2 linked regions of the Caenorhabditis elegans genome follow. The protein of the gene in region 1 interacts with the protein of each later gene in a pairwise test. Each region holds a gene or a part of one and is shown in the gene's direction. Other genes may lie near its edges.

Evidence for each region.
Region 2: the proteins of oatr-1 (region 1) and K04F10.2 interact in a two-hybrid assay, tested with the Caenorhabditis elegans proteins (one large-scale study listed by BioGRID).

The regions. Positions count from the first base shown.
Region 1 is NC_003281.10:6,391,089-6,400,900, reverse strand, and holds oatr-1 (putative ornithine aminotransferase, mitochondrial), read left to right. Parts: upstream 1-4,965; 5' UTR 4,966-4,966; coding exon 4,967-5,206; intron 5,207-5,252; coding exon 5,253-5,462; intron 5,463-5,543; coding exon 5,544-5,857; intron 5,858-5,909; coding exon 5,910-6,102; intron 6,103-6,155; coding exon 6,156-6,294; intron 6,295-6,343; coding exon 6,344-6,516; 3' UTR 6,517-6,663; downstream 6,664-9,812. Other genes in the region: smrc-1 (SWI/SNF-related matrix-associated actin-dependent regulator of chromatin subfamily A-like protein 1 homolog), read right to left, coding at 7,226-7,429, 7,475-7,975, 8,021-8,218, 8,265-8,715, 8,767-9,146, 9,210-9,362, 9,402-9,497.
Region 2 is NC_003279.8:6,353,245-6,364,897, forward strand, and holds K04F10.2 (Protein KATNIP homolog), read left to right. Parts: upstream 1-7,593; 5' UTR 7,594-7,599; coding exon 7,600-7,697; intron 7,698-7,740; coding exon 7,741-7,877; intron 7,878-8,409; coding exon 8,410-8,573; intron 8,574-8,629; coding exon 8,630-9,008; intron 9,009-9,357; coding exon 9,358-9,505; intron 9,506-9,557; coding exon 9,558-9,889; intron 9,890-10,224; coding exon 10,225-10,335; intron 10,336-10,382; coding exon 10,383-10,482; intron 10,483-10,525; coding exon 10,526-10,667; intron 10,668-10,720; coding exon 10,721-10,816; 3' UTR 10,817-10,928; downstream 10,929-11,653. Other genes in the region: Endoprotease bli-4, read left to right, coding at 728-800, 1,656-1,834, 1,886-1,994, 2,615-2,842, 2,896-3,049, 3,100-3,214; rde-3 (PAP-associated domain-containing protein), read right to left, coding at 3,468-3,654, 3,701-3,826, 3,898-4,096, 4,147-4,232, 4,284-4,376, 4,424-4,642, 4,692-4,930, 4,975-5,151; K04F10.3 (Vacuolar protein sorting-associated protein 28 homolog), read left to right, coding at 5,431-5,504, 5,548-5,641, 5,686-5,868, 5,916-6,083, 6,178-6,380, 6,848-6,914. UniProt on the Caenorhabditis elegans protein: May regulate ciliary A-tubule number and, along with arl-13, controls cilium integrity.

The DNA.
Region 1 (9,812 bases):
GTAGACAAAAACAGCAACATTTTCGTTTTGCAGTGTCCTCCCAGAATAAACTTTCTGTCTTATTTTTATTTCTATGTGAGTGTCACCACTTTTCTGTCAAACCACCCTCGGTTGTATAACACGGTTTTTATATTTTTGCTTGTTTGCGCGACAAAACGGAGGAAAACCCCCCTGTAAAACGTTTAACGACTCCGATTTTTCTTCATGATGAGGGACAAGATTTGCGGGAAAAAACACTGAAAGTTGCTAAATGATGAGGAAAGACGAAGAGTGTTGATAGGATAAAATGATTGTTGATTGTTCTTTGATTCGATTTTATTCTTTTTTTGTTGGCTATTAATTTAAACTGCTCACAAGGAAAGTTTTTTAGTTTGACTTCAAAACGTCAGACTTCAAAACGAGACATGTGTCATTCGAAAGTGTTCCATAAGGATATGTCACTGCAAAATTTTAAGCGGCAAAGCTCCACTCTCAACCCCTCTAGCATCGATCTGAAACTATTTCAGTGCATTTTTTCACTACTTTGGAGGCCTGTAGAATTGCTCCAAAATTTTTTTTTGCAAACTTTCAATGTTTTATAGAACGTTTAAAAGTAGGAAAACAATCTGGGAGATTTTCCACTCGAGTGGAGTGAAGAAATTTTCACATTTTTTTCAAAAAAATTAAAATTTTCCAAAAGTCTCCCAGATTGTTTTCCTACTTTTAAACGTTCTGAAAAACTTTGAAAGTTTGCAAAAAAAATTTTTGGAGCAATTCTGCAGGCTTCCAAAGTAGTGAAAAAAATGCACTGAAACAGTTTCAGATCGATGCTAGAGGGGTTGAGAGTGGAGCTTTGCCGCTTAAAATTTTGCAGTGACATATCCTTATAGAACACTTTCGAATGACACATCTCTCGTTTTGAAGTCTGACGGTAAACTAAAAAGCTTTCCTTGTCAGATTAAATAAATAAAGAGATTTGAGTTTTATCGGGTTGTTTTTTTTTTAATCAATCAACTATTTGAATAAGTTGTTTAGTATAATATTCATATTTTCTTGGATAAGCGTGGCAAAAAGGGTCCGCGAATTTAGATTTTTATAGTTTGAAAACATATTGCATTCTTCAAAAAAAGGTAAAAACAACTCTATAGACTCAAAAACCAAAAATCTAGAAAAATCGAAAATTTTCGATACTATAGAACCGGGAAGTATTAAAACAAAAAAGATACGAACTTTATTCTTCTGTTTAAATCAAATCAACAAGCTGTATGTTGCAAAAAAGAGCACAAAATTATATGAAAAAGACAAGAGAACATAGCTCAATCAGGATTTGGTCCAACTAAAATGTTACGAAAATTCAATTTCTTCCTAGAATTGTTGGCCGCTGGACATTTTTTTCATTCTTTTCTTTTGCAAAAACTGAAATATTTGGTTGGATAGAAGGATTTGATGAGAAAAATGTGTTCATTTTGAAAAAAAGTTACCTAAAAATTTTTTATTAAAACTTAAGATTTGTTTTTAAAAAAATGACCCATGTTTCAGAAGCGAAGAAAGACCATTTTCTAAAGTTACGAGCAGGTTTCCAATTAAAAAAAATAAAAATTGAAGTAAATGTAGTAATATACTATAGACTTTATCTAGTTTTACCGACCTTTTTGTGATTCATACGTTTTTCGATCACAATCTCCTGTAACTGAAAATTAACCGAAAATTACTTTAAAATATATTAATAACCGATTTTAAGGCGAAATTTCCGTCTTGGATCCGGCCACAGATGCAAAATTATAAGCTACAGTACTTACAAGTTTCTTTATTTGAAATTTGTTCCCAGATTCTTTTAATGAGAAAGATAGAAATTAATTTTAAAATATTCTAAAACAATTAGAAAAACTAAAAACGCAAACAACTTTAGGGGGAAAATTGCCGCGTCATTATTTACCGCACTCTTGAATTCCTAGAGACTCAATTTTGCAGAAATAATCGCAATTTTCAAAGCAAAAAATGATTAAATGTTTTAACACAGAAATCTAGAATTTTATATTAAAATAAAAAAAAAACACTGACAGTTTCTAGTTTTTAAGAGGAAAAACATGCCGTTCGAATTTTTGAATATTCCTAAATATTTACGATTTTATTTACAAAGTTGATTAATGTTCTCGTATCACAAGATAACATTTTGTGATAGCAGGTGCTGATACTATTAAGAAAGAATTTGAATTTATATAAAAACCTTTCGGAGAAACTTCATTTTTTGTTATAAAAAATCCTTCAAACGCTTTCTGGAAATTTCATGAGTATTCAAAAGTTTAAATTTTCAGATCTTCTCAAACAAATAATTTTGAGGGCTTTATTTTCTGGATATGATATTCGAAAATGATAAATGGCAAAATAAAACTGAACATTCATTTTTAAAAAGATTAGTTCCAACTAAGTCAGAAGATGAGTATCAATACGAAGATCAAGAACTTAAATGAACAATGATTGAAACAGAATCGAATACAAAGAGGAAGACCAATGTGCCAAGAAGTGGCAACTGTTACGTAGAATAGTGTGTCTGGCTTTTGGTTGCAATTTAACCAACCAAAACATAAGAGATATGTGACGTCAGTGGAAGGAGATTCATTGGAAAAATGATACGTCAATTTGACACTAGATGATTTGTTTTCTAGTCAATGGGAGTAGTTTTTTATGATGACGACACAGGCTCTGGTGGTGAGGGACTTTTTGGAAAGAATTCTGGATAGAAATCAAGATCCTGGTGCACGTCTGAAAATACTGGGAGATAAAAGGGTGCAACGAAAAAAAAGTCCTGGAACACTGACTAAATAATCTTTGATCGGAGTTCCCATTTATCCCTGTAAATAGTTCAGGATCCTAATATTTGTTTGTTGATTCAAAATATCTTGGTTCTGAAAATTATCAGAATTTATTTTTGAATATGGAGTTATACTACACAAGTGCATACGTTTTATTTATAAAAAAAATGCATTTTCTGGTTGTGCTCAATAAGATTTCTGAAAATAACAGTAAGGATGAAAGGTGTGGAGATAAAGCGTGCCAAGCAGGTGATTTTGTCTCCAAAAAGTTGTCACCCGGTAAATAAATACATTTAAAAAATAAATAGAACATAAAGAGATAATTAAGAAGAAACATCTATTTCTCATAACGAACCTCTTGATCCTGAGAACTCGCCTCGGCAGTACCGTAACCTACAGTACTCTCAACGTTCGCAAGCCTGCAACTTTTCTTCTTTGTTTTTCTTCAAAGCAGTATCGAAAATCGGAAATTTTATTTTTGTGGTTTCTCAACTTTTAGATACTCATTTCAGAGTGTTTCCAGTATTTAAAAAAAAAAGATTTTCCAGTTTTCCAAAACCAAGAATTGGCTTGAGCCACATTTATTTATTTATAACCAGCAAAACGATTTTGTTTTAAATTTTCTTAAATATTCAATTTCTATATTTTTATCATTAAAAATCTTAGTCTTTCAAAGGTTTTCGTGATAAATCTATCCTTTGGGCAAATTTTGTTTTCTTTTTGAAATTTGAATCTCGCGCCGAAAAAGTAAGCTTCTCATCTGCCGTGTACTCCTTTCGGACAATCTGGATTTTTTGGGCTTTCCTTGTTTTTTCTCTTCTTTGTGCTTATTTTCTTATTTTCTTAACTTATTTTCTTGAAAGAATTTGGTTTTTTTTGTAAAGTTAAATTTTTTCTATACTTTTTAAAGTGTGAATAATTTGTTTTTTTAGAACTAATTATTATCTTTTGAAAGCGGTTTTCCAGCTCTCTCTAATTTTGCTGCTAAATATATTTCCATACAATTTTGCCGTTCCCAGTATTAAAAATAATTAAACCGAATTCTAAACAAACTTTCGGAGCTGTTTGTTGAGTTGCAGCTCAATAAATTTCTTTTCCTTTTTTTCTCTGTTCCTCTGCCCTCAGTGCTGTTGTTCCACAACACAACGAGTTCCTCTCCTTGTTTTTCCTGCAAGATTTTCATCTTCTCACCCCCAGAAAAGTTGAATTATTTGTGTCGATTCAGTTGCAAGATTAGACTATAAAATAAATAAGCGATGGGCTGACCAACACATAAATTACAATCCAATTATTCCTTTTCACATAGGGGTTCCTAGCATCAGAAACTAAAATTGAATGCATCTATAATCCCATTTTGTCTGATTTTTGTCTTTATTATCATTTCGTTGAAACGTGTAATCAACGCCACGATAAGAGATCAACCACGAGGAGAAGGGCAAGAGATTAGAAGAATCATTAAAAGTTGAAGGTTGTCTTATTATCTCTAAATATCTGTCTGTAATATCAATGATAAGATTGGCAGAAACCTGTTTATTCCACTGAAATTACCAGAATTCTTTGATTATTTAATTGTGAATTTTGTAGGCGATGGTGCTCGACCTGGTCAGTTTCTTATCAGAAAAAAAATATTTCAAAAGTTGTTTGTTTCCTAGAATTGTTTTATTGCTTATCAGTTCATAAAAACTGATTTTCAAATTCAATGTCACCATCTTTCCTGACAAAAACCTTTATCATGGAGTTAAAAAAGAACTTTGCTCGAGAATTTTCATTATCTACAGAAGCTACAATTATTTTACTTCTTATTCTAAACCTTCTTTTCTGTATTTAATAAAATTTATAAAAACTAGATCCTAAAAAGCGATAAAACAATTTTATTAAATTTTAATAGCGGAGCATCACGTTGGAAAATTTTGAAACTGTAGAATTATTTCCAATAAACCTGCGAGGAAATTCTTAAATTCAGGTATTTAATAATAGTTCTTCATTTTGAAAATTCACTAATTTTTCTGTCCCGGCTACATGCCATCCATTCTTATTATTTTTTAACCAAACTTCTCTATCAGCTCCGCCTCCCATGGCCTTTCCCACATTCCCACTTTCATTTTGATTCTCTTATATCATTCTTTCTCCCTTTTTCTTTATCACTTCTTTATCAATCTTTCATTACTTGCAGAATGTTGTCCTCCCTCCGTCGTGTCGTTCCATCTCTGCCACGTGGCTCCCGATCCTTGACCTCTCAGCAGATCTTCGATAGGGAGAAGAAGTTCGGTTGTCACAACTACAAACCATTGCCAGTAGCTCTTTCCAAAGGAGAAGGATGCTTTGTGTGGGATGTTGAAGGAAAGAAATATTTCGATTTCCTTGCTGCCTACTCTGCAGTTAATCAAGGGCATTGCCATCCAAAACTTCTCAAGGTTGATCGAAGAATTGGAAAGATTTAACTGAATTTCCAGTTTTTAGGTTGTTCAAGAACAAGCTTCCACATTAACGCTTACCTCCCGGGCATTCTACAACAATGTTCTTGGAGAGTACGAGGAATACGTCACAAAATTGTTCAAATATGATAAAGTTCTTCCAATGAATACTGGAGTAGAAGCTTGCGAGTCTGCAGTAAAATTAGCTCGCCGATGGGCTTATGATGTGAAGGGTGTCAAGGATAATGAGGCTGTGGTAAGTTATAAATTTTGACTTGAAATTAAGTATTGAAATTCTAGTTTTTCCAATTAGATTTTGAAAAAAATTATATTGCAGGTTGTATTCGCTGAAAACAACTTCTGGGGACGCTCGATCGCCGCTATTTCCGCATCCACTGATCCAGATTCATTCGCAAGATTCGGACCATTCGTCCCGGGATTCAAAACTGTCCCATATAACAACCTGAAAGCTGTTGAAGATGCTATCAAGGACAAGAATGTCGCTGCATTTATGGTTGAGCCAATTCAAGGAGAAGCTGGAGTCGTGCTCCCAGATCCTGGATACTTGAAGGGTGTTTCTGATCTTTGCAAGAAGTACAATGTTCTTTTCATCACTGACGAGGTTCAAAGTGGACTCGGGCGATCTGGAAAGTAAGAATTAATTCCTAATATTGTCAAAATCTGAAACAAACTAAAATTTCAGACTTCTCGCACACTACCACGACAACGTCCGGCCAGATATTGTTGTACTCGGAAAAGCGCTTTCTGGAGGATTCTACCCAGTTTCTGCAGTGCTCTGTGACGATAATGTTATGATGAACATCAAGCCAGGAGAGCACGGATCTACTTATGGAGGAAATCCATTGGCCTGTAAAGTGGCCATTGCTGCCCTTGAGGTAAGTAAATTTTATAACTGCGACCAAGTTATGTATGAATGAAAAAATTTCAGATTCTCCAAGAAGAAAAGCTCGTTGAAAATTCCGCTGTTATGGGAGATCTCCTTATGTCCAAACTGAAAACCCTTCCAAAAGATATTGTATCAACTGTTCGTGGAAAGGGACTTTTCTGCGCAATTGTCATTAATAAGAGTAAGTTAATATTCCAGTAACAGATATAATTAATCCCCACTATTTTCAGAATACGATGCTTGGAAAGTATGCTTAAAGCTGAAGGAGAACGGACTTCTTGCTAAGAACACCCACGGAGACATCATCCGATTCGCTCCACCACTCTGCATCAATAAGGAGCAAGTCGAACAGGCGGCCGATATCATCATCAAAACAGTCACCGATTTTGCAAAGCAAAACTAAATTTTTTCTGGGATTTTGCATAATAATGTCTCGTACTCGTCCCGTATTGTTCTCACGATCCAGATGCTGGTAATTTTTATAGCATTCGATGACATTTTCTTTTTTTGCGTATCGCAAATTTTGAGCTCTAATAAAGCTTCATGGTTTTTGATTTCTATCTTTGCAAAAATAGTTCAAAAGTTTAATCTTATCGTTGAGAGAATTGGAACACCATCGACGGAACAGGTCTCCATGTTTTTTTTAAGTCTTATTTTCTCTCAAGCATCTCTTATCTCTATATTATCCTGATAAGGTACCTGTCTCCACCAACCGAATAATTCAATTTAAAAGAAGCAAAGGTGTTGGTAGAAATTCAGAATTATCTTCTCTTCGGAGATGTTCCTCTACAATTCTGCCTCATTTCTAAATTATTAGTTGTTTCTATTTATAATATTTATTCTATATTTACTCCAATTATTCCGACGTCGCCTCGGATCATTTCCCGCTCAATGTGTCATATCTGCTCTAGTATGCCGAAAATCGTGCCACACACTTTGTACAATTTAAAGAAATAATTTTTATATAAAAACAAGTTGAGATATTGAATAATACACTGTGAACCGTAAAAAGAAGTTAAATTGAGATTTATAAAATGAGAGCGTAAAATATGAAATCATTGGAAACATGGAATTTCACAAATGTGTCTGAATCCTGGATAAAGAGCTGATATTCAATTTTTGATACGTTTAGGAGCTGGAGAATCACAGATGATTTCCAAGTCATCATCCTCTTTTTCCTCTACAGGATCTTCCCATTCATCAATCGTTGTATCTGGAGTCTTTTTGAGATATTCTGCGATGCCAGGCTGCGCGGCATCATTGAAACGGAGATGCATTTTGTCAGCAGTACGGAATGTGTCACTTGACAGGCTGACCTGAAATTAGACGCAAAAAAATATATAGACAATTAATTGCACTACCTGTCCCAACACATCTAATTTCTGCTGAACCATATTCCACATGACATCATCAGCAGTTTTCTTTGCGATCAAATATTGCACGAAGACACTATCCTTCTGTCCGACTCGATGAGCCCGATCCTCGGCCTGCACGAGGTATCCTGGATTGAAGTGAATTTCAGCGAACACGACGACCGATGCGGCGGTCAAAGTGATTCCAACACCTGCTGCAGTGATCGAAAGAACCGCGACACGAATGTTATCATCAGTCTGGAATGAGTCACAAAGAGCCGTTCTTCGATGTGATGGAGTCTTTCCATCGATTCGAATTGATCCAAGTTTTCGTTTGTTCACTTCCACTTGAATAGTGTCAAGAACGATTTGATGATGTGCGAAGATGAGCACTTTCCGTGGTGGAGCATCTGGATAGAAGTAGTTTTCGAGAATGTGCTCACAGACTGCAGCAGCTTTGACAATACCAGTAAGACTGTAGAACTCGAGAAGAGACTCATGTTTTCGCTCCTGAAGCAATTTTTTAAAACAATATTTTAAAATATTGAAAATTACCATTGAATTGACTTTTTCGTAATCAGCCCGAGCCTTCTGCAAATCATCCATTCTAGCATCAATTGTAGGTCCTGACACATAGACAACTTCACGACGTTTTTCAGGAAGATCTTTCAAGACATCAGCCTTTAGACGTCTGATCATCAATCTTTTAAACATGATTGCGGCGAGCTCTTCGCTGTTTGTACATCCTTTTGCCTTAAAAAGATAGTTATTTAAATTTAAAAAAAACGATCCACAGTACCTCAAAGCAAAATCTTCCTTGTTTTCCGTCACAATATCGTATCGCAAATTCATGAAAATTGGTGAATAACTTGTGATCGATCAATCTGATCTGTGTGAATAACTCGGACGGACGTGATAATGCAGGAGTTCCAGAGAGTAGGATCACATGAAGTGCCACTTTTGAAAGATCAGTTGCCACCTTCGTTCGTCGTGCTTTTCCGTCTTTCAGCATGTGAGATTCATCGAAAATAATTGTTCTATACTTTTCCTTTTTAAGTATATCATGTTTCAAAACCATTTGCTCGTAGCTCATAATCGCGACTGTGTTGGAAGTACAAACATCTGGCAAAGGATCGGAGGATTTGTCGACGATGAAAATTCGATGAATTATTGGGAAGAAAGTGTTGAGCTGCTTCTTCCAGGCACCTTTGACAGAGGCTGGACACACAATGAGGAGAGGCCAGTCGGCTCTGAAATTATTTATTACGATCTTAAGAGATTAAACTATCATCGGATCATACTTGTAGTATCTTGCAATTGTCAATGCTTGAACCGACTTTCCTAATCCCATTTCATCAGCTAATAGGATCCTTCCATCTCTTTCCAATGCAAATATCACACCTTCCTTCTGATAAGGAAAGAGTCTTTCGATAAGTGATGGATCCATAACTGTATTCAAATCACTAGGCGCTGCTTTTGGTTTGAAGTTCGTTAATCCTATAATATTCTGAGGAAGAGGTTCGAGTTCCACCTTCACTGCTGTTGCATTCTTTAAAATATTACTGATGGTGATGTGATCGGAAGAAGCTACTGTCCAGGATCTCTTAGCGGGATCGTAATTTCGACTTGGAACTTGTTTGATGAGATCGATTACTGCCGAATGAAATGGATAGAATTCAATCTTAAAATATATGTTTATATATGTTAAATATATGTTAAACTACAAATTTTTAAATTTTATTACCTTAATTCTATCACCAATATCCAACTTGAGTTTCACCCCAATCGTCGGTTTAATCAAACTTGTCGGTTCTGGCTTCTGAACTTGTTTGATGTAGTTGTTTATAGTCGATTGTTTTGTGCTATTGTTCATAGTCGGCTTCATTGGCTGGAAATTCTAAACTTTTTGTCAATTCAAAACTCATTTTTTAAAAACCTGTCGATTTTGTGAGAACATAACGGGAATAACTGGTTTAGGAGGAGCTGGTGGTGCAGCAGATGACGTGGAAGCTGTGGCGTTGGCGGCAGCCTGCTGAAATTAATAAATTTCAGTATTAAAAATATAATTTACATTTGAAAAGGGCATATTTGTAGATTAAACATGATGTGAATTAATTGAGTTATTACTTGATTGCGAAAGGGTGTGTCTGCCATGAATGTACTTTTACAGCTACAGTAACCGCGATTACGGTATTACGTGTTTATTATCTGTGGATAAACACGTAATACTATACTTTTTCTATGTATTTTCACATGAAGTTTAGCGTGTACGTGATGATAATCCAGTATGTTTCTTTAATAAAAGGAATGAAAATCCGAGTAGAAAAAAATTTGAAAAAATGGTGAA
Region 2 (11,653 bases), on another chromosome or scaffold:
TTTTCTTATGTTTCTATAAGTTTTACTGAAAAGATGAAATTTCGACGTGCAATATCAGGATCCCTGCAAACTTATTTTTATTTGCAATTAAAATTGTTTCATGTTTCAATTGTAGGGTGATGAAGTTGTTGAAAGAATTCGAAATCATTGGGAAGTGACATTAGAAGAGAGTTCACATTGGAATTGGGAGCATGCTCGTGAACATAAATCATTACAAGAATTGAACTCTTCTTCTCGTACCCATAGTTTTTTATACTCTTTCACCAAATTTCAACCGATTTTCTTGATTATTCTTGTCTGTATTTTTGATGCCATTCATCGCCAATTCGCGGTTTGAGACTATATGAATTCATTTTGGGTACTGAAAATACGTGTTTCAATTGTGTTCCCATCAAATTTTCAGGGTCTCATCACGATCTACCGTAATCCCAATATTGTGCCTATTTATGCTTTTATGGTTGTACACGTCGTGGTGTGTGTGTGTGTCTATTTGTACTTATTGTCAATTATCCTCAAATATTTAGTTTTGTTTCTTGCTTTCCGTCCCGGCATGATGATCCATTTTATCAGAACAAATTTAATCCGATTTCTTATTTTAAACAATATTTGAAAAAAAGTAGTGAGAGATAGTGAGGTACGCAGACACACAACACACCACATTGTCCATCCAAAACTTTTTTGAATTTACGAAACGCAGTAGATATTACGGTAGATCGTTGTTTTACAGGTTGAAGAGTCTGCTCCGATCTCATTTCCAGATTTGACGTCGGCTGGAAATTGTCATGATGAATGTAATGGAGGTGAGGAATTGATTTTCGCGATTACTATAAATGTTTAAAAAGTATTTTCGGTTTTTTTCAGAAATTTCAAAGTCAAAAATTAAACATTGCAGAAATTTCAAAATCAACTGGAAATATTGTCCAGATGCGAAATTTTGCGACTATTGCTTCAAAAATACGGTACCCGGTCTCGACACGGCCGATTTTTTCAATGCAAAAGAATGCGCGCCTTTAAGGAATACTGTAGTTTCCACATTTTCCGCGTTGCTCGATTTTCTCTGATTTTCAAAGCTTTCTCATGTTATTCAAAAATCATTGAAGAATTGTGCTGAAGCAGTTTATCTTACTTTAAAATACATAAAATGTTAAGAAAACTAAGGAAAATCTATAAAAAATTGAGCTACAGTACTTGTTTTGCAGTGCGTTCAGTGGTATTTTATATAAGTTAAACTAACAGTACACTTGGTGACTCTACAAGGATTTATTATAGACAACTAGTAACACTAATAGACAAGTAACGCAAGAACATAAAGCAAGAACTGATTCGGGAAGTCCCTCCAAGGTTGGCAATATGGTCCTTGTTCTTTGTTAGCACTGACTGTTGGTTGTTCCTTGAGCGATGGTGATAGAAATGCTCGGTGTTGTTAGCGTCCATTGTAGAGTACATAATTATGCAATAATTATAGAATAATTATTAAGTCGTGAATAATGGAGATCCTGCTCCATGCTATTCGCGACAGTACTCCTCAATGTAAAACTTTTTCGCGTTAAAAAATTGGTGGTGTCGATACCAGTTACTGTATTTTTGAATTAAAATCGAAAAAAAAATGCACATATGAGACATATTTCTGTTAATAAATTTTTGAATTTTTACAGGTTGCACAGAATCGAGCTCAGCAACATCATGTTTCGCTTGCAAACATTTAACTCAAACTCTTCGAAATAAAGGAGGAAGTGGATTCAAGTGTGTTCAAAAATGCGATGATACTTACTACTTGGATGGTGACAAGTGTAAAATGTGCTCATCCCATTGTCATACTTGTACGAAAGCTGAGGTATTTGGTGACATAATTGTTTGCCAAAAAAAAATAATTCTATAATTTTAGGTGTGTGAAACGTGTCCTGGAAGTCTTTTGCTCATTGATGTGGATAATATGCCACACTATGATCATGGAAAGTGTGTTGAGTCATGTCCTCCAGGATTGGTTGCTGATTGTAAGTTTTATAAGAGTTTCAGAATAAAAAGTTAATCTCCAGACGCTGAAAATTTCGATTTTTGCGCCAAAAATAACGAATCTGGTCGCGACACGACAGTGTTTGTTAAATTCAAAAAGCCGAGCGCCTTTAAAGATTACTGTAATTTGAAACTTGTTGATTTAGACTTTTTTATTTTTTCTCTCTTATTTTAGTTTTTTTTTTGCTAATAAATTTTTTTTATCGAAAAACTTTATTTCGATTTAAATCTATCGATTTAATTTATCGATTTAAAAAAATCCGCATCGATGGAAGTTTGAAATTACAGTACTCTTTAAATGCTCTCAGCTTTTCGAATTTGACAAAAATTGTCGTAGGCCGGGTACCGTATTTCTTTTATGAAAATTGCCAAAATTCGCGTCTGGAAATAGTGATCTTGAAGAAGAAAAAAGTTACAGCAGAAAAATCAAAGGAAGAAAAACTTGGTATTGTGTGTGAATGTTTGAGTGCTTTCTTTTTTCAGGCTAAATCCTACTTCTACACTGAAACTTTCCTCTTAGAATATTTACATCTGAAATTCTTGGCCTCTAACCATTTTCCTCATGTTACAAGTTTTTTGTTTAAACAATGTGAAATTTCAGATGAATCGAATCTTGTTCAAGCTAAATGTATCTGGAGAAAAGATCTTTGTGGTGACGGATATTACATCAACGCTGTTGGAAAATGTGATCTTTGCGACTCCTCATGCGAAACTTGCACCGCTCCTGGTCCAATGAGCTGTGAGAAATGTTCAAAAGGTTATGGTAAAGGATCGATTGGATACTGTAGACCGTGTTGTCCTGAAGGATCAACAAAGAGTTGGCAATGTGGTAAGGAAGACACTCTCAAAATCTTCCAGGTATTCTCACAATTATTTTTTCAGAGGACTGCTCCAAGCCGGATCCTACACTTTTGATTGATTCTAATAAATCATCTGGATTTGGATTGATGTTCTGGATTGTAGTTAGTTTGATTGCGGCTTGTGGAATCTGTGCCTGTAAAAAGTGTGCAAGTGAGACGAAAAGCTCAAACGTAGAGTAAGCCTTGCTAGTTATCGTCTCCGTAATTCGAATTTTAATATTTTTAGATATGCGCCGCTTGCTCAATATAATGCCACAAATGGTGCTATCAATTTAGGAGCACACACTGACGATGAAGACGATGATGAGGATGAAGTATTTGTGAACCCTCAAATTGTTTAAACCAAACCTTTCAAAATTCATGTTTTTAATTGTAATTTTTCTGCCAACTTCTTTGTGTATGCTTGTGAAATCCGGGTAATTGTTTCTTTTTCAAAATTTTAAAACCTGAAACGTTTTCAAGTGGCCTTTTATCATGTGATTGTATTGTTTCTTTTGTCTTATACCGGGTTTATTTTTATTATACCGTACTGTTTCCATGTTATAAATAGATTGTTGAATTAATTACACAAGACAAAACATCGACATATTAAGACTATACAAATGAGTTCCGACAGTAGACACCTAAGCCGACTCGATTCACTTCTGTGGCTTCAGCTCGGAAGTTTCGAACTTCTGCACGCGATGGTTTAGGCACTTCTGGTGACATATTGATAATATCATCTAGTGTAGGAAACGTGAATTCGGAGCCTTCGACAGGGAGAAACTTCTGATATGTGCTTCTGAAAGTAAGCAATTAATTAAAATCTGTGTTTTCTTCAAGGTTACCTCATAACATCTTTAATTCTATTCAATGTTCTTACAGTTCTTCCCGGGTTGTGCTCATCGAATGGATCTTGAATACACACCTCTTTGTTTGTTGAACTACGAACCATATTGTTTTGTGATGTTCTTCTGAAATTTCAGTTTATTATTTTGAAGAAGATCCAATTGGTTAATTTGTATTCACAGAAAAAAAAATCTACCGATCCATGACCATTACAGGCCTGGCACCAATGTAGTTTTCTTTGAAGTTGAACATCGAGTAGTAATATAGAAATTCGATGAACAATCTTGCCAGTGGAGCATTATTTGGGGCAATTCTAGGAAGAGGCTTGGGAAGTGGTGCACCAAAATTCAAAATTGATGGATAGACTTTGTCATCCCAAGCAATGAAATTATCCTCTGAAATGTTTAATTATGAAAAAAAAACAACAGAGAATATATTCACTCACTTTTAAAGATTTCTTGCAAATTTGGCAGTATTGGTGGAAATGTACCGCATTGGAGGAAGTGAATCACCAGTAGAACAAGTGCATAACTGAAATTTCAGAATTTTAGATAAATTCAAATAAAGTGATTAATATTTAACCTGTTGAATCCTCCATCTTTTGGATCTTTAACTTTTGTACTGGCTGCCCATTGTTTTACGATTGCACATAATGGTGCAAATCGGCCGTCGATACTTCAAAATTAATTGGAAATAGAATGTCTAACAACAAGAAAACTAACTGTGCCAAATGTCGAATCAAAAAAGAATTGTGCATCGATGACAGAAATCGATCCATAACTACACTGATATCACAATCGATTCCGTCTACCGTCATCACTTTCAAAATTTGAATTTGAGCTTGAACGAGCTGGATTCCATGTTCCCAATTAATTCTTGAATTGATCTGTTCATCATTTTGTAAGTTAAGACGGACAATTTGTAGGATTTCCAATTGAATTCTGTAATTTATGTCATTTAAATAATTAATTAATCCCGAGAAAGCCTAACTCTCTCCATGATGCTTGTCGTTCGTCATCTGTGATATTTCTTCCACGTTCTTCTTGTTCCAGAACTCTTGCCGCTTGTGGGATATGAATTGCAACGTCTAGATCACTGTTTTTAGTGGCCAATCCGGTTACTGTACTTCCAGTTGGCACGATATTGAATAGCCACGTTGGATTGTTCTTCGAAATTATATTCTTCAGCTGATAGCACCAATCCATTTTTTTACCGAACTCCTCTTTTGGCTGAAAATAAGGAACTCTTAATTTTTCATTTAATTCAAAGCAACCTGTTTCGTAGTATCGAAATGATCCTGCATACTGATAGACAATATATTGAAATCGTCCTCGTGATCCCTTAAAACGCGTTGAAACTTTCCGTTAAATTTGTGAAACGCTTTTGGATTCGCTTTGACCTTAAAGTCTATGTCTTCTGGACTTCGCTGATCTTTATTTGGTTGAGACATTGTTGTTACTACAAAAAATATTCAATTATTATTCTCATTGGAGGTGAAATAAAGCGCGACAATATAATTCTTTTAAAAAACTGGAAGGAAATGCACAAATGTGCTTGCTGTATAAAAATGAACATTAACATTCCAAGAAACGAATAAACAATTTTATGAATTTCCCGGACTCGCACCGATACCGCGCAAAGGAGTTGTGTTAGCGCACTCTCCGTGCACTATGCACATTCTTCGTTTCTCCAACGATTTTTTTTTGTAATTTAATCAAAAAAGCGAAGCATGTCCGATGATGAAAGTATTTTTGTTCCCGATGAAAATTCAGCACAAGTTTCTGCAGAAACGACTGTAAAATGGTAAGTCAATCTGTTCATAATAATGTTTTTATCGCTTCAAAAGTTACAGGACTGATAGCGCCAGTTCGCAGAAGGTTATCAACAATTTGGAGAAATTCGTGCTTAATCAAAGTCTTGACAAGAGTTATAAAAAGATTGTAAGTGAAATGTATTAGTGTTTCAATAACTAATCTTCTTGCAGGCAAGTGACGGCATCGCCAGCAGTAAAAGAACCCTCGAATCGCTTTTAGCTCGGAATGGTGGACATCAAAACCTTCTTAATGAAGAAGTTAACAAACTAAACAATAAAAACTACACTTTGGATGCGGATGGACGAGTTTGTTTGGTTAAAAATTCTTCAAACGACACGAGCCGCCACCAAGAGGTTTTTGTACCAATGTTTTTGAAAACCCTAAAAACGAGTTCATTCAGTTGATTCTTCTACAAAAAGACACCCATGAGCTTCGATGCCTTCGCGAATATTTGATGTTAGCTCTTGAAGCAATTATGCACAATCATCGGCAGATGATGGTCAAACATGTTCAGAACGTCAGAGAAAGGCCAAGACAAGTTTCTCAAGCAGCTATAGATAACGCAATAGTGAGTTATTTTATAAACTCAAAATTTAAAAACGTTTGAGGTCTCAAGCGCTTTTGGGCTTTTTATTGAGGCTTTTTATTCATTTTTGTTTCAGGAAAAAGCCAACACACGCATTATTGACGAATTTGCTCAGATGACACTCTTCGTCGATCAGTCCATTGCTCGCGAAGAAATTCGGTCGGAAAACAGACGAAAATTAAAGAAAACCATTGAAATTGAGACTTTTTTGATGAGAATGATGCTCGAAATGGAAGATATTCGGGAAGCAAATGTGAAAGATTTGGTGTCATTATGGCGGTAAATTATTATAAATTTTTAATTCAAATTATTTTCAAATTTAACGCTTCAAAGTAATTCTTACTTATTTATCACATATTTTTGTCGTTCACGACAATTTTTCATTGATTGCGATTTTTGGTCGATAGATGAAATTTTTGCATAATCGACGGAAATGTACCAAAAAACTCATAATAAATGGAAAAATATGCAAATAGTATGAAAAAATTTTGTAAGATTTTTTTGTTGAAATTTTAACAATTTTAGCCATTTTTTGACTCTAGTTACTAGTTTTTTGTCCAGTGTATTTTTTGTTAAATTTTTTAAAAAACAATTTTTTTAAGTTCATAAGTTTCCAGTAATTTTTTTTTCGAAAATTTACAAATGGTACATTTTTTTCGAAATCGTCGTAATAAAATATGATCGAATATTTTTTCCAAAAAATTTGCTACCTCATGATTTGTCTTTAAAATTCTTTTTGTTTTCAGGAGTCATCAACGTTCTGCAAAAACTCAACCAACGAATAACAACGCTGCTGGTGATTCTACAAACTAACTTTTGAATTCTTCACAATCGAAAAATAGAAAATCCACTGTCATATCAAAATTCCTTAACTAGAATCTCTCACCAACTCGTTTATAAATGTATTGCAATGATTGTACTATTTATTTTTGACCTCACTTTTTCCCTCCTAATCAGATTTCAATATTTGGTCCCTGTGTGTCTTTCTGCCTGTCACATTTACTTGTATTGTTCCTTCCCCACACATAATTGCTTATTTTCTTTGAAAATATGTACTGTAGATGCTTGATTTTTTTGATTGCACCATTTCGTTGAAATGAATTTATTCTTTCAGATTTTCCAAGCAACATGCTCACGTGTGAGCTAACATCAACAAACGACATGAAAAAATCTGAATTTCTCACTTTGAGAATTTAAAAATGGCTTCTTCATATTTATTTTTTATCCGTCGACTAATCATTTGGCACTACAAGGCACCTGCCACCAGTTTCTCATATCTAATTATGAATTTCTCTAAATTCTCTTCTTTTCACACAATATCTCGTTTTTTCCATGACAACGGAGAGCAGTGAAGCCTGAGAAAGGGGGAATTTCTCTGATTCTCTCACTATTTTTCACCCGTATAGCTGTTACTTACCTTTCCGTTATTTTCTTACGACCCATTTTCATTTTGAAGCTTTTTACACAAATTATTCTGAAATCAAATTCTTGAAGGAAAATGTCCGATTCTGACTTGAAAGAAATTGAAAAAAATGCGGAAAATATAAAATTAGAACCAGCTGAAGATGAAGTGAATGAAGAAGATCAAAATGAAATGTAAGCTTTTTTTCAAACATTTGTCCAATTTCTCCATTTTCAGCACAATTCCAGAATTACCGGAGGGTAGAGTTTTAGAGCTCAGGTTACTTTCAAATTGGGGAGATTCTCATTATATTGGTCTAAATTCTGTCGAAATATTCACGTCAACAGGAGAAAGAGCTGTTATAGACAAAGTTAGTGTTTTTTCTGAATATTCAGAGTAAAGTCGTTTTCTTTGTTTTTTTTACTTATTGCTTTTCCACTGAAAATCATGTACTCTGGTCCTAACGCGAATGAGACTTCACAGCTACCGTATCCGCTAGTACTGTAGACTTTCTTCGATTTTATTTAAATACGAAGTTTATTTATTAAATAGTAATTACTATAAATAGTAGTTTCAGAGAATTATTAATATATTCAACAATTTAAGTTTTTTCACAGCGAAAAATTCTTGAATTTTTTGTAGATCATACCGAAATTATACAGCCTGACACGACGCGAAAATATACAAAAAACGAATAGAAATCGGTAAATACTGATGAGGATGAAAAGTCTCGCGCTAATTTAACTTCCTTCAGAAATAGTAAATTTTAATTGTAAAACGTATGCCACTATGCCCAAATTGTTGTACGTAGATTTATCATAACTTCGCAGTTTTCGATGTTTATCATAAGGATTTCAATATTAAAATAGATTATTCTTAATTCAAAACTTTGCTATTTTCCGATAGCAACAAATGTGACTGAGTACACTGGAAGTCTCGAATCTCTGATTGTTCAACGAGTTCATTGCAAAGACGCCGAAAAAATGTGGTGTGCCAAAACGACGGAAGAGAAAATAGTTCTAACTTTGGAACTCAAAGAAACATGCAAACTTGCACTTATCAGATTTTGGGTGAGAATTATTCTTTCATGTGTGAAATATTAATGTTTTTATGAGAACGTTTTTAGAATTACAATGCATCAAGAGTTCATGCTCAAATTGGCGTCCGTTACCTTGAAATGTATTTGGATGGAGTTGGGATATTTCGAGGAGAACTTGAATGTGCATTCTCCGCTGATTCTGAGTTTACACCTGTAATGGGGGAGACTGTTCTTTTCACTACTTCTGATAATATATTGGAGCTCATTGCTCTTCACGATGTTTGCTTGATAAGTTTACCTGAAGAACCAATTTCAAATTCATCAATAGAAATGTTAAAAGCGGATCATTTAACACCATATAGGCCTTCAACTTGTGAAGCAAAAGATGCTCCATCAACTCCTGTTACCATAGTTCCACCTCCAATATTCAGGCAAACTGGGACAGCTTATAAGCACGATGTGAAAAGTAAGAGTTAATACTTTCATAGAAATATTTTACCTGAAATAATTTTAAAAAAACAATATTTTTTTCTATAACTGTTCTGAATTTTAACACTTTTTTTCTGGATTAAAAAATATCATAATTCTTGATCTCCAGTACGTTGGAAGTTCATATCTCATTTAAGATACATAATCTCAAGTTTAACTTTAAAAATCCGTAGAAAATGAATTTATAATTCATTGTCTATATTTAACGTGCTCTAATTAAACCGAAAACTACCTAAATATGACATAGACTGGCTGTCCATCACAAAAGTTTAGTGTTCGAAAATTATAGTTAGTTTTTTTTCAGCAATAACATAAAATATTTGCAGCTCTTCATATTGAACTACTTTCCAATTGGGGAATGGATGGTTTGATTGGACTTACTGGACTAGAACTTGTGGATGAACATAGCCAATTGATTGATGAGTCACAGTACACAGTGACCACTTCCGATGGAAATTCTGATCTATCTAAAAAGTAAGTTCTTTGCATTAGTCTCAGATTTTTCTTCATGATTCTTTTTTTCCAGACTTTTCAACGGTCGAAACCTAACTCGTGATCCTCATGACATGTGGCTTGTTGACTTTGATTCAAAGAATTTTACAACAATTTCAATAACTTTTCATGACAACGTTGCTCTGAAAGCAATTTCCGTCTGGAATTATAATGCTAGTTTTGAACTTTCATACGCCGGAGTTAAGGCAGCTAAGATTTACATAAATGGAAAATTGATCAAGAATGTTTTATTACGAAAAGCTACTGGATTCGTATACTTTGATTATGTGCAAGATGTGGTTCTTGACCCAAATAACACTGAAAGAGATTTTGTGCCAAAGGGAATAAGTCAAAGTATTGGTGGATGTAAGTAAATCTACTTTTGAAAAAAATTTAAACTGATAAAGTTAAACAATTTTGATAACTGAAGCGTTTTTTTTTCAAATTTTCATGTTCTTCAAAAGTGGACTAATAAATTAGGAACTTGTTTCCAGAACGTATTACTCATAATCAGTTTGCAAATATCATAATTTTGGTAGTCCACTAAATAATTTTCTTCAATTTTCAAAATTCAATTATATTCAAGTTATTATTCTAGTATCGTAGATTATCAACATGCGAAATTGCTTTGAACTTCTGGAAACCATGAAACTTTGATTTTTCTTGTCTTACTATTAGAATGAAAAAAATCCAATTTTCAGTCGTATTTCAAATTCGTCTTTTATCTACATGGGGTGATGAGTTCTACATTGGACTCAATGGAATTGAACTTTATAATCGGAAAGGAGAACTCATGAAAATTAGAGAACATAGTAAACTTTCAATTTATGAAATATTCAATATATCAGTTATGTTTCAGACTTGGCAGCATTTCCAGAAAGTGTAAACATTCTTCCAAATATAAAAAATGATTTGCGTACTTCAAATAACCTAATCACACAACCTAATGATACTGACATGTTTGTTGTTTCAACCTATTACCTTATAAATAGGGTATTTCAGAGCAAGAAATATGTGGCTGACAGCTCTTCTTCCGAATAGATGTGCTCGAGTCTTTTTTGTGTTTGATGTTCAGACATATATCTCAAAAATTGTAATCTACAATTATCGCAAAACCCCTGAACGCGGGGTTCGACATATTTCAGTTGGTTTTCTATCAGAACACCTGAAAAATAGAACAATTAAATGTATTTTCAGGTAACTGTGGATGATTTGATAATCTTCTCTGGTGAAATTCCATCAAGCACGGCCACTTTAACTGGAAATCTCGAGATTAACTTAATGGATATTTAGTTTTATTTGGGAATCCCAATCTGTAGAACCGGTTTTCAATTGTGATTGTGTCCTCTCTTTTTGTTGAATGACCATGGTGTTGAAAAAACTTTCAATAAATTGATTTTTTTCGATGAAGCATTGAAATTAATTTTTTACGACTTTATGCACATACTTAATAAGCTTACAGTAATCTCTCACACTCTAAACTGCTCTGAAGCGCCCCCCGAAACTAGGAGTGGCAATGGGTCGCAACGGGAAGAAACTTTAAGAATGAATATGAAATGTGTTGGATAGTAAGTGGAAACCGAAGTTGTGCCCATTTTAAATTCTATAGATGGTTCAGATGTTGGTGGTTGTGGATCAGGTTGTTCAGTTTTGTGGTAGAGAATCTTAAGTTGCAATTTCTACTGGGTAAGACATTGTTTGCAAAAGAGCCAGGGTCAGTGGTGTAACAGGGATTGGAGGAGGAAGTGAGGGTAGAAAATGAAATGCTTGAGGTACAGGCTGAAAGCATCAGAATCTCAGTTTATTCAAATTTAAATTTAACAAATAATTGATGTAAACATAATGGCAACTGCCCTATTGTTGAATTTGAGCCAAGAATAAAATTGGCAGAATCCATAAGTTTACATTTCCAGTCTGACTTGAAAGTAGCATGTTGTTCCAAATCGGGATAAGAGACGTGATTTGGAGTGAAATTAGTTATTCTGACACAAAAAATACGCACAATTCCTTAAATTTCAAATTTTCAAATCTTAATTTCCGTGCGCACCCCGACCAAGAGAAGTGAAACGTTTCTGCAAGCGACCAAAATAGCGTCAATAAGCTCTACTTGACGCGTTTATTGCATTTATT